Linked DNA regions of Macaca mulatta. The main gene of each other region encodes a partner of the protein of the gene in region 2 in a complex. Links are inferred from orthologs where the notes say so. Each region holds a gene or a part of one and is shown on either strand. Other genes may lie near its edges. The genes, in order: STRADA, CAB39 and STK11.

Region 1 (3,742 bases), on a different chromosome or scaffold from region 2:
TTTATACTGTGTTGCTTTGTGAGTTTACCAAGTTTGCTTCTGAGAGTGGCATCTTATTTTTGAGAATGAGAGCATGTGAGGGTAGCCCTTAGCAATGTCAAAGCACTCGATAAAATCAAAGTGATGTGGCTCAGGCCTGTAATCCCAGCACTTTGGGAGGCCAAGGCTGGTGGATCACCTGAGGTCAGGATTTCAAGACCAGCCTGACCAATATGGTGAAACCTCATCTCTGCCAAAAATACAAAAATCAGCTGGGCATGGTGGCATGCGCCTGTAGTCCCAGCGACTTTGGAGGCTGAGAATTGCTTGAGCCCAGGAGGCAGAGTTTGCAGTGAGCCCAGATCACGTCACTGCATTCCAGTCTGGGCGACAGAGCGATACTCCATCCCCCCACCACCAAAAAAAAAAAAAAAAAGGTGATATATGTAAGATCAAATGAGACTTCATGTGCATACAGGTCCCACAATTCCAGGGGCATATTTTTCTTTTTCTCTTTTTTTTTTTTTTTTTTTTTTTTTTTTTGAGGCGGAGTCTCACTGTCGCCCAGGCTGGAGTGTAGTGGCAAGATCTCTGCTCACTGCAAGCTCCGCCTCCCAGGTTCAGGCCATTCTCCTGCCTCAGCCTCCTGAGTAGCTGGAACTACAGGCGCCCGCCACCACGCCCGGCTAATTTTTTTGTATTTTTAGTAGAGACGGGGTTTCACCGTGTTAGCCAGGATGGTCTTGATCTCCTGACCTCGTGATCCACCCGCCTCGGCCTCCCAAAGTGCTGGGATTACAGGCGTGAGCCACCGCGCCCGGCCTTCCAGGAGCATATTTCTATCAGTCCCTATTTGGATGTAGCTAAACTTCCCCAGTCTTGGAAGTTAGGACAGTCTAAATCTGTGTTAAGGCTCAGAGCTGCGAAGAGCGAGTGTTCATTACCTGATGGTATATATCCGCGTTTTGGACACCCTCTCCTGCGCACGCGGGGTTAAGTAAGTCACTGAAAAACCTAGTCTCACAGGAGTGGGGCTTAGTCCATCACTTCCTCATTTCTCAAGCTCTGCATAACCTGGCTTGGACAAACCTGATAGGTTTCCACAAACGGCTTCAGCTGTGGATGAGGAAGGCTTCCGGGGTGGGGGCAAGATACAGAGGGGACAAGATGATCGTTTTCATTAGTTGAGCTATTTTCCTCGTTTTACAAATAGTGGGGAGCAAAGAACGGATAGACTTCCCCCTTTGCAGCTTGTTGTCTGGTGCCCGAAAGGCCAAAGTGAGGGGCATTTGAGAAAAGTGCGAGGCAGGTTTTCCCATAGAAGTCCTACCACATGAAATGAGAAAAAAACAATTCCCAGGAACAGCCAAGTTTGCCTTTCTCTGGTCTTTCATTGTTGAAGCCACCTGCTTCCCCCTCCTGCTGCGGCGGCGGAGGCTCTAGGCGGAAGCGCCGCGCGACGGAAAAGACCACCAGAGGTGAGAACTCTCAGCGCTACAGCTGCTGAGGCCGGCGGCACCCGGGGCCCCTCGGAAGGGCGGGGCTTCCCCGCAGGGAGGGGAGGGGAGGGGAGGGGAGGGGCGCTCTATCCGCCCTCCCGGTCGCCCGACTGCGCATGGCACGTTGCGTACTCCCCTCCCAGCAACCGGCCTGGCGGCGGCGCGGCCGTAAAACTGAGGAGGCGGAGCCAAGACGGTCGGGGCTACTTGCTAACTCCAGGAACAGGTACCTGCCTGGCGGGGTGCCTGGTGAGCCGCCGGGGCCAGTCCCTCCTCGCTCTGCCACCGATTCCATCTCCCCAGGCCCGGGCCTTCGTCGGAGCGGCCATCCCGGGCTCACCCTCACCCTCCACGGGCCCCCTTTTTAACCCGCGTCCTCGACTCCCGCAATGAGGCGCCGCAGCCCGAGAGCAGAATAGGTTTGGGCCTGGCGGGGAGACGCTGAAGCGGAGTTCCCGGGCGAGAGAGGCGAGCTCCTGCTTTCCCCTTCCTCCCCACCCCCCAGGGCTTCCAGGTGGGGAACCTAGGGCTGGGTGCCGGTTTGTCCTGCTCAGGCAGAGTGGTGGCCGACTCCGGTGCTGAACTCCCCGCTCTCCCCAGCCGCCGCGCACCCCGGGCTGACAGGCAGCAGGTCAAGTCCTCGTAAGGACACAAGATACAGATGGCTCCCAGAATCGGCCTAAACGAAGAGCTCATTGTCTTTTTGTTTTCCAAAAATGTTTTTTGAGTGACTGCAGGGGATATGGGCGCCGGAGATGGGGGTTGGGGGTTGAGGGTTGGGGGTAAGGAAGAGAGTTCGAGGGAAGGGCATTGGGTAGGTAAAATTGTTCATAGCTCTCAGGAAATAGGGAACTAACCTCTCTGCCCAGCCTTCTCCTGTATCCTAACATACTTTAACTTGACTTTCCTCGAAGAAAAAGCCGTTGGAATCTGCCCTTTTCTTATTGTAATATCTGTTCAAGTAGAAGCATGTTCCAATACGTATATGCGACGTTAAGACAATTCTTCATTGACACTCATACCTTTCTGAAGACACCCAGGACTGTTTCTTGTCTCTGAGAGTTAAGGAAGAAACCAAATTTGATCACCGGCCTAGAAGCCTGTGAATTCAGCCTTTAGGTATAGTGCTAAACTGGTCAAATCTGTCCCCTACTTTTTAATCAGATTTCTTAGAGGTGTTTTGGCTGGAATGCAGTGTTTATGGTTGTGGCCCCAGAAATGGAGGAAGTTTACTCTGGTTTTTAGAGCACAGGCTTTGGAACAGATTTAATTAGTCCCTACCACTTACCTGTGTGACTTTGGGCATTTAACCTCCCTGCACCTTAATTTCCTGACCTGTAAAACAGAGATGATAATACTTGTGAGCTGCTCATGAAGCATTTAGCACAGTGCCTGACACGTAGAAAGTTTGCCATAAATGTTTGCTGGGTTTATTATTTTCTCTCTTGATTTTTATTTTATTTTTTGAAATGGAGTTTCGCCCTTGTGGCCCAGGCTGGAATGCAATGGCTCCATCTCCGCTCACTGCAACCTCAGCCTCCTGGGTACAAGCAGTTCTCCTGCCTCAGCCTCCCGAGTAGCTGGCATTACAGGCACCCCTCACCACACCCGGTTAATTTTTGTATTTTCAGTAGAGACGGGGTTTCACCGTGTTGGTCAGGCCGGTCTCGAACTCCTGACCTCAGGTGATCCACTAGCCTCGGGCTCCCAAAGTGCTGGGATTACAGGCTGAGCCACCGCGTCCCGCCAATAAAGCTGTTTCTATATCTGTCCACTAGTAATATTGCTTTGTTGTGTGTGTGTGTGTATGCACACACACACATATATAGTGTTAAATTATAGTGTTAAATGTTTCTGATAGTCTGGGTGCTGTGGCCCACCTCTGTAATCCCAGCACTTTGAGAGACTGAGGCAATAGGATTGCTTGAGCTCCGGAGTTTGAAACCAGCCAGGGCAACATAGCAAGGCCTCATCTCTACTGAAAATTTAAAAAAATTAGCCGAGCTTGGTGGCGCGTACCTGTAGTCCTAGCTACTTGGGGGGCTAAGGTGGGAGGATCACTTGAGCCCAAGAGTTTAAGGCTGCAATGAACTATGATAGTACCACTGCACTCCAGCCTGTGCAACAGAGCAGGACCTTGTCTGCAAAAAATATATATACACACATACATATATGTGTACATATATATTATACAATATGTATATATGTACATATATAATATACATATTAATACATATATGTTGCATATGTGATATATACATAAT
Region 2 (3,738 bases):
GACGCTCACACCCGTAATCCGTGCACTTTGGGAGAGGATTACTTGATCCCAGCAGTTCAAGACCAGTCTGGGCAACATGGCAAGATCCGGTCTCTATAAAAATACAAAAATTAGCTGGATGTGATGGTACAAGCTTGTGGTCCCATCTACGGGAGGCTGAAGTTGGAGGATGGCTTGAGCCTAGGAGGTTGAGGTTGCAGTGAGCCGTGTTCGCACCACTGCACTTCAGCCTGAGCAACAGAGAACCTGTCTCAAAAACCAAAACCAAGAAAGCAAATACCACCCATTTGTTATAGTATCAAACCATTTCATGAAATATTCTATGCTGATATCCAGCCTGAATCTTCGTGTTATCATGGTCAAAAAATAGTTACCCTATATGGATGGCCCTAGTGTAGAGACTATTTTTCAGGAGCGAAGTGGGAGGTAGGAAGGGACACTGCATCGCCGTCTGTGGGGGATGGTATACCAGCCATGATCATAATCTTTTGACAGCATCCTTTTAGAAGTCCATTCACTCCTATAGCAGAGATCTGTGTGCTTTCTTCCTCTTCCATACCTCATGACAACACACATGCTGCCAATAAAAACTTTATTCAACAAGCAAGAGGATCCAAGTCTTACAGAGAAAGTAATAAATGTACTTGAAACAAGAAGCTTTTAGAAAAAGTTCTGTCCACACTAGTAGTTATTAAGCGTAACTACTGCATTTCATCTGACGTAAATAATACAACCTTGTCAGGAAAACATAACACGCTTAAAAGATTTCCATTCCTGAGTAAAAATTTTTTATCTAAAGATATTTAATGATAAGAAAAGCTTAGGGATATGTGTGTGTATACATATGCATACAATATATTTCATTATGCAGAGAAAAAATACACAGAAAAAGACTGGAAAGAAAATACGCGAAAATGTTAACAGTAACCAAATCTAAGTGGTAAGATTATAGAAAATGTTATAAAGATTTTCTAGTAATCCCTGAATTTTGCAAGCTTTGACAAAGATCATGTATTATTTTGAAACGTAGAAAATTTTTAAACTGCAAAAAGGTGGCATTTGAATGCTTACAAAACTTAGGCCCTAAGCTGCTTTCACAGATTGTATATTCTAGATTTCAAATACAGCTGCTGATTACTTCCTAGCAATTTGAAGAAACTACAAAATAAAGCTAAACACTTTCACTTCTGGCTCTACTATAAAGATCTCGCAATAAAATAAAAATAAAAACAAAGTTTTACCTTTCTACAAAAAGGTCTACGTCCGGTTTTCTACAGAATATTAGTAACTATTTTTAAAAAATCGTCAATTTGTTCTTTTACACAAATGCCACCTCAAAGAATGTAGGTTTAACTTAGTAATTCCAAAGTACAGACGCCTAATACAAAGTGCAATAAGTTTTTATGCATTTTAGCGAACGCACAAACAGAAACACCTTCTGTGTGCAGATGAGCTTATTTTATATACACCTTTTCATTACCTCTTAAGAGCCTGACATCTAATGAAGCTTTCTGCAAAGGTACTTTGCTTAGCTTGGGCATGGATTTACTTGAATATCTGGGAAGCTGTCAAAATCGATCTGAAACTGCATTATATTCAAGGCACAGAATGTCAACTCCTGACTGGGCCTCCTTCTCTCTTCTTTCACAAGAGCGCCTTTAATATCCCCTAGCCTACATTTCCGGGCTCATGAGTCACTGAGAAATGAGCTCTAAGTTTCTCTCAGAACGCTGCTCAAATAGCTCCTCTACAGCATTCAAGGATCTGGCCCCAAAATACCTCTTTAGCCCCATACCCCCCGCCCCCTGCACCACGCCAACAAACGGAATTATCCATGATTTCCAGGCTTTGTCTTCTCGTTTTTGCTGCCCCTTCCACACATCTCTTCTGCAACCCTCCTCTCCTAAATCCCATCAGGCCTTCAAGACTCTGCTCAGCACCCCCCGCCCAGGACGCCTTCCAGGTTTCTGCTAGGCAGAAGTGATCGGTTCGGTTTTTCCGGGTGCCCTTCCAGCACTCTGTCGTTCTTTCACAGGACTTATCACCTCCTTCCCGGTATCGCAGTTATTTGTGTACTCGTCTTATCTCCCACACCAGAGCCTAAGCTCCTCGGGGGAGGGGACCGGGGCCCGCTTCACCTTTGAATCCCTCCGGCGCGGGTCGACTACGGCGCCTGCACGCAGTCTGCGCTCCGGGTGATTCCACTGAACTCGAGAACGCTCCGACCGCACAATTCCTAACCAGAAATCAGTTAGGCATTTTCCTGAATTGATCACAACGCTGGTATCTGCCTCCCGACAACAGGAAGTTTACCAGGGGCGGGAGCGAGGCGCCGGAGTCCGGGTGCAGCCGGTGACAGTTGACCCGGTCCGCACTTCCCCGCCCTCCCGACTCCGGCCCGGATCACCCCGAGCCGCCAGCCCCGCCTGAGAACCACGGAGGGGGCGGCAGGAGCGCCTGGACCGCAGGCCCCCGGGAGCCCCACGCCGGCGAAGGCAAAGGGAGCGTCTCAGCGAGGGCTGGGGCCGAGCCGGGAGGAGAGGGCAGGCCGGGCCCGGCTGCTCCCGCTGGCTCCGGGGCCCAGCTGGGCCGGGGCCGCCGCCACCCAAGAAAATGGAGGCAACCCCGGGGCCGGTGAGGGCCCGGCGGGACAGGCGGAAGCCGGGCAGCCGCCGCACCACGAGCAGGGCCGGGCCGGGGGTCACTCACGGGGCTGGGCCAGGCGTTCCCTTCTCTGCCTCCGCGTCGTCGCCGTCGCCGTCCTCGGCCGCCGCCGCCTCGGGCTGCTCGTTCGGTCCCCGCGGCGTGGCTCGGACGCTCGGCCCCTCCGTTGTCTTCCGCCCGTTCCTGCTCCCGGCGACGGGCTCCCGCGGCGGCGGCGGCGGCGGCTGCGCGGGCGGACGGCGGCCCAGGGGCTCCCGCGGCTGCCGCCGCGCTGCTGCGTTCACTTGGGTTGCCGCTGCTGCTGTGGGGCCCGGCGCCGCCTTAGTCTTCGTCTGTGCCCCCGCCCCGGCGCCTGAAGGTTCTGTGTCTCCCAGGCCGCGCCGCTCCACGATCCCCTCGCCCAGCCCGCGGCCCGAGCCCGGCTTTGACGTGCGCACTGCGCAGCCGCCGAGGACGCGACGACGGGCGGCGCCGCAACGCCCCCTTCCGCCTTGGGCGCCCCCGAGCGGCTGGCGGACTCAGGGCGCCGCGAGTTGGCGCGAGGCCCGAACGGGAGGGGCCGCAGAGAAAAGCACAAGTCAACCCCCGCAGTTCCTCTTCCTCCGCCGCAGCTTCCAAGGCGGGGCTCATCCCCTTCTGTTCCGCCTGAGCGCTCTTCCAGCGGGAATCGCACGCCCACTTTGAACGACCACTTCCTCAACTCTTCAGGCTTAATTCTGCGAAAGGCCTGGATCCCACTTTGTGCAGACCGATTCTTTCTTGCTTGCGAGGAGCAGATCACTTCATTTTAGCTTCCAGGGGCACACAGCATAGAAAGTGCCGGAACGTTCCAGATTAATGGGAACATTCCTATTTAAATCAGCAACCTGGATTTACATCCTGCTCCACCATTTGCTATCTATGGGCTGTTTCACATCCTTGTGCCTGGATTTCCTCACACGTTAGAAAAAAAAGAGGTATATAATAATATAGTGGTACCAGCCACGGGCTTCTGAGGATGAACGGGACAGTGCATTGCAAAGCTCTGACAATGGAGCCCGGCACATACAAATGCCATATGTGTGTATTTTCGTT
Region 3 (3,642 bases), on a different chromosome or scaffold from region 2:
ATGCCCTGCTCTGGTGCCCACTCAACCAGCTGCACACGTGGCCAGCCTCCCTGTGGTCTTGGCCCCACTGCCCCCAGGGGCCGCTCACCTGTGCTGCCGGATCTGCCGGATGGAGAACCTCTTGGCCGGCTCGTACTCAAGCATCCCTGAGGAGAAGCCGGCGAGGAGCCAGTCAGCCAGGCACAGGCCCGAGACCCCACCAATCATCCCCACCTGACCAGCCTCTGTTGTCAGGCCCCAGGTGATACCTGGATGCTCCCAAGGGGGGCCCCCTTGAGATGGCCTCCCTGACAGAGGCGACTCCAGGGGACAGGCCAGGGACAGCCTCTGCGTGCCTGCCTGGGAGACAGGGCTGGGCTGGACAGGCAGGGCAGTTCCATTCTCCCAAGGCCACTGGGCAGACGGACAGACGGCCAGTGCCACCTGCTGCCCACACACAGGAAGTGCAGCAGGACGAGCCTGACACAGGCCAGGGAGCCCCCGAGGGCGGGGCTGGGGGAGGCGCAGGGCAGCACTGCCCTCAGGGGTGGGAGTTGAAAGGTGAACAGGGCCCAGAAGCAGGGTGGAGCTGAGGGACCCACAAACCAGGCCCTAGTGGGAGGCCGGCCTCTCCGCTCAGTCCTCTCAGTGCCTGCAGGGGTCTCAGGGCCAATAGCCCCCCACCTAACACCCCCCACCCTGCATTTCTGCACAAAAGCCCCGCCTCCCTGGGGCTGTGGGCAGAGGGACGAGGCCCCCACCTTTCAGCAGGTCGGAGAGCGGGGGGCCACAGTCACCCGGGATGGCGTAGCTCCCCTTCCCAATGTTCTCAAACAGCTTGTAGATGTTGTCCCCTTCGAAGGGGTACAGACCCGTGGTGATGTTGTAGCTTCATTCGAGGGGAGGGAAGAAAGGTGTGGTCAGTCAAGGTGGTCGACGCCCCGGGAGCCCCACCTCTGCCCCAGGGACGGAGCCCTCGCGTGGCTGCTGGACCACAGGCCCTGCGGACTCAAGGACACCTCTGTCTTCACCGCCTCCCACTAGTGGAAGCCATGGGGCAAGAGAGGAGCGTCCTCTGGACCCACCCGGGGAGGGGCCTGGAGCCACTCTCACCCGCCCAGCTTTCCTGTGGGGCTCTGAGAGGAGGATTGGTTGTGACACTCTGTGAAGATCCCTGACAGGCTAGGCTGCATGTCACATGGGTGAACCACCATCTGCCGTGTGAGCTACGTCTCCATAAAGTAAGCACCCCCAGTGGCTGTGGTCAGCGAGGGTCTAGGCTGGTGGCTACGCCCTGCACCCACAGGCCAGAAGCTGCCCAAGATGCAGAGGCCCCTCCGGGCTGTGCGTGTGGCGAGTGCCGGGGCGGGGCCGGGGCACTTACAGGGTGACCCCAGCTGACCAGATGTCCACCTTGAAGCCGGAGAAGGTGTCCAGGCCGTTGGCAATCTCGGGTGGCTGGAAAGCCGGGGAGCCCTGGCTGGTCCGGCAGGTGTCGTCCGCCGCGAACGGGTGCAGTGCCTGTGGCAGTGCCGTGCAGCCCTCAGGGAGTGCCCGGGAGGGGGCGCCCCAGGGCCCCCCCTAGCACGTGCCTACCTCGGCCACGCCCAGGTCGGAAATTTTGAGGGTGCCCCCGGTGGTGAGCAGCAGGTTCCCGGGCTTGATGTCCTTGTGCACGATGCCCTGGCTGTGCAGGTACTCCAGGCCGTCAATCAGCTGACAGAAGTACCTGCGGGCAGCACACACCTGTCTTGGGACCGAGGCCTCCCTGTTCCTCACAGGGGTCCCCTTTGCAGCCGCCTGGGAGCCTCCCAACCACCACAGGCCCAGCTGGGGAGTCACGGAGGTCCAGGCACACAGGACAGAGGAAAAGCTGGGTCCAGTAGGGAGCCAGGCCTGCGCCTGCAGTGACCACCCTCATCCGGCCGAGTCACGTCTGGCAGGGCCCCGGATGTCCACAGGTCTCATTTCCCTGTGGGCCACAGGCCGGCTGCACCCCAAAGGCTTGCTGAAACAGCAGGCCCCTCCCTGCCCCTGCAGTCCTGCAGCAGCAAGGGGCCCTGACTCTGCAGCCAACAGATCTGTACCAGGAGGTCCGGTCGGGGCAGGTGGCTGCTGGGACGGGATGGGGTGAGCTGCCGGCCTCAGGCAGCAGGCCCAGCAAAGATGGAGGCAGGAGGTTGACAGCAGCCCTGCCCGTGGATACCACACACAGGAGTCCCCAAAACTGTTTTTAAAAACTTGGGCCTTCACAGGGCGGGGCGTGGTGGCTCACGCCTGTAATCCCAGCACTTTGGGAGGCCAAGGCGGGTGGACCATGAGGTCAGGAGATCGAGACCATCCTGGCTAACACGGTGAAACCCCATCTCTACTAAAAATACAAAAAATTAGCCAGTCGTGGTGGCGGGCACCATGGTCCCAGCTACTCGGGAGGCTGAGGCAGGTGAATGGTGTGAACCAGGGAGGCGGAGCTGGCAGTGAGCAGAGATCGCACCACTGCACTCCAGTCTGGGCGACAGAGTGAGACTCCGTCTCAAAAAAAAAAAAAAAAAAAAAGGCCGGGCGCGGTGGCTCAAGCCTGTAATCCCAGCACTTTGGGAGGCCGAGACGGGCGGATCACAAGGTCAGGAGATCGAGACCATCCTGGCTAACACGGTGAAACCCCGTCTCTACTAAAAAATACAAAAAAACTAGCCGGGCGAGGTGGCGGGCGCCTGTAGTCCCAGCTACTCAGGAGGCTGAGGTAGGAGAATGGCGTAAACCTGGGAGGCGGAGCTTGCAGTGGGCTGAGATCCGGCCACTGCACTCCAGCCTGGGCGACAGAGCGCGAGACTCCGTCTCAAAAAAAATAAAACAAAAAAAATAAAAAACTTGGGCCTTCATGTCAATGAAGATCAGGACAAGCCGTGTGGCCACAGGGAAAGGAGCCTGCCCTGCCCGGCCCCCAGCCCCTGCTTCACCCCAGCCCCTGCCCCGCGCACACACCCGTGGGCCTGGCACACCGGGAAACGCTTCTCTGGCACGCTGTCCAGCATCTCCTGCATGCCACACACGCAGTACTCCATCACCATATACGTGGGATGCTAAGGACACACAGCTCAGGGGGCGGCCCCACTCACAGGCCCGGAGAGCACAGGGGCCAGAGAAGGGGTTCTGGAGGGACCCTCCGCAACCACTCTGCCCCTCCTCGGACCAGGGCCCACCCTGCCCCTCCTCGGACCAGGGCCCACCCTGCCCTCACACCCCTCTGAAAAGGCCCCAGCGTCTGGGAGGAAGGAGCCTCCATGGGAGTGGAGGACAGGGCTGACTCTTGGGGCAGTGTTCCTGCGGGACTCACGTCCCCCACCCCGCCCATGGGCGGGGGATGATACCTCCTGGACGCCCCCACAAGCAGGCTCGGGTCCACACAGGATGGGGCCCACGGCCCCTGACTGCGTGACTCTGAACACAGCCCCAGCCTCAGGACCACTTCTGCTCTTGCTCTGGGCACAGGGCCTCAAGCAAAGTCCCCGTAGGGAAGCTGTGCCCGTAAGACCCATGGGGGGAGTCTACCGATGACACAAGGACACGCTCAGCCACGACCAAAATGGCCCACAACATTCAGCCTGCGTGGCCTGCCTCAGGCAGACCCTGGCCACATCCCGGTTAGCCTTGGAGAAGACT

Evidence for each region.
Region 1: the proteins of CAB39 (region 2) and STRADA are in contact, whole or in part, in a crystal structure (PDB 3GNI), measured with the Homo sapiens proteins. The link is inferred for Macaca mulatta from reciprocal best matches to the Homo sapiens genes CAB39 and STRADA. Residues at the interface, in NP_001124321.1 of Homo sapiens: Leu26, Glu27, Lys28, Gln29, Tyr55, Gly56, Thr57, Asn58, Ala85, Asp86, Gln88, Leu89, Phe92, Glu93, Lys96, Arg107, Glu138, Leu141, Ile145, Ser176, Thr177, Phe178, Asp179, Ser182, Asp183, Glu221, Asn222, Tyr223, Val224, Arg227; in NP_001003787.1 of Homo sapiens: Pro64, Leu104, Glu105, Cys107, Ser108, Asn109, Val112, Gln116, Leu119, His120, Lys123, Leu124, Phe125, Asn126, Thr136, Phe137, Ile138, Asp140, Asn141, Leu143, Tyr185, Met189, His223, Gly224, Arg226, Val426, Asp427, Asp428, Trp429, Glu430.
Region 3: the proteins of CAB39 (region 2) and STK11 are in contact, whole or in part, in a crystal structure (PDB 2WTK), measured with the Homo sapiens proteins. The link is inferred for Macaca mulatta from reciprocal best matches to the Homo sapiens genes CAB39 and STK11. Residues at the interface, in NP_001124321.1 of Homo sapiens: Gln109, Gly111, Thr112, Lys196, Leu197, Leu238, Asp239, Arg240, His241, Phe243, Met246, Ile250, Val280, Ala283, Asn284, Pro285, Glu317, Gln318; in NP_000446.1 of Homo sapiens: Gln100, Arg103, Arg104, Glu165, His168, Ser169, Gly171, Leu201, His202, Pro203, Phe204, Ala205, Ala206, Asp207, Asp208, Phe234, Arg301, Ser307, Arg310, Lys311, Lys312.

Annotation. Positions count from the first base shown.
Region 1 is NC_133421.1:73,535,070-73,538,811, reverse strand, and holds the start of STRADA (STE20-related kinase adapter protein alpha), read left to right. Parts: upstream 1-1,132; 5' UTR 1,133-1,457; intron 1,458-1,648; exon of another isoform or gene 1,649-1,946; intron 1,947-2,720; exon of another isoform or gene 2,721-2,813; intron 2,814-3,742. UniProt on the Homo sapiens protein: Pseudokinase which, in complex with CAB39/MO25 (CAB39/MO25alpha or CAB39L/MO25beta), binds to and activates STK11/LKB1.
Region 2 is NC_133417.1:135,971,890-135,975,627, reverse strand, and holds the start of CAB39 (calcium-binding protein 39), read right to left. Parts: upstream 2,909-3,738; 5' UTR 2,710-2,908; exon of another isoform or gene 2,139-2,709; intron 1-2,138. UniProt on the Homo sapiens protein: Component of a complex that binds and activates STK11/LKB1. In the complex, required to stabilize the interaction between CAB39/MO25 (CAB39/MO25alpha or CAB39L/MO25beta) and STK11/LKB1.
Region 3 is NC_133424.1:1,890,343-1,893,984, reverse strand, and holds part of STK11 (serine/threonine-protein kinase STK11), read right to left. Parts: intron 3,055-3,642; coding exon 2,965-3,054; intron 1,709-2,964; coding exon 1,576-1,708; intron 1,501-1,575; coding exon 1,364-1,500; intron 869-1,363; coding exon 741-868; intron 147-740; coding exon 89-146; intron 1-88. UniProt on the Homo sapiens protein: Tumor suppressor serine/threonine-protein kinase that controls the activity of AMP-activated protein kinase (AMPK) family members, thereby playing a role in various processes such as cell metabolism, cell polarity, apoptosis and DNA damage response.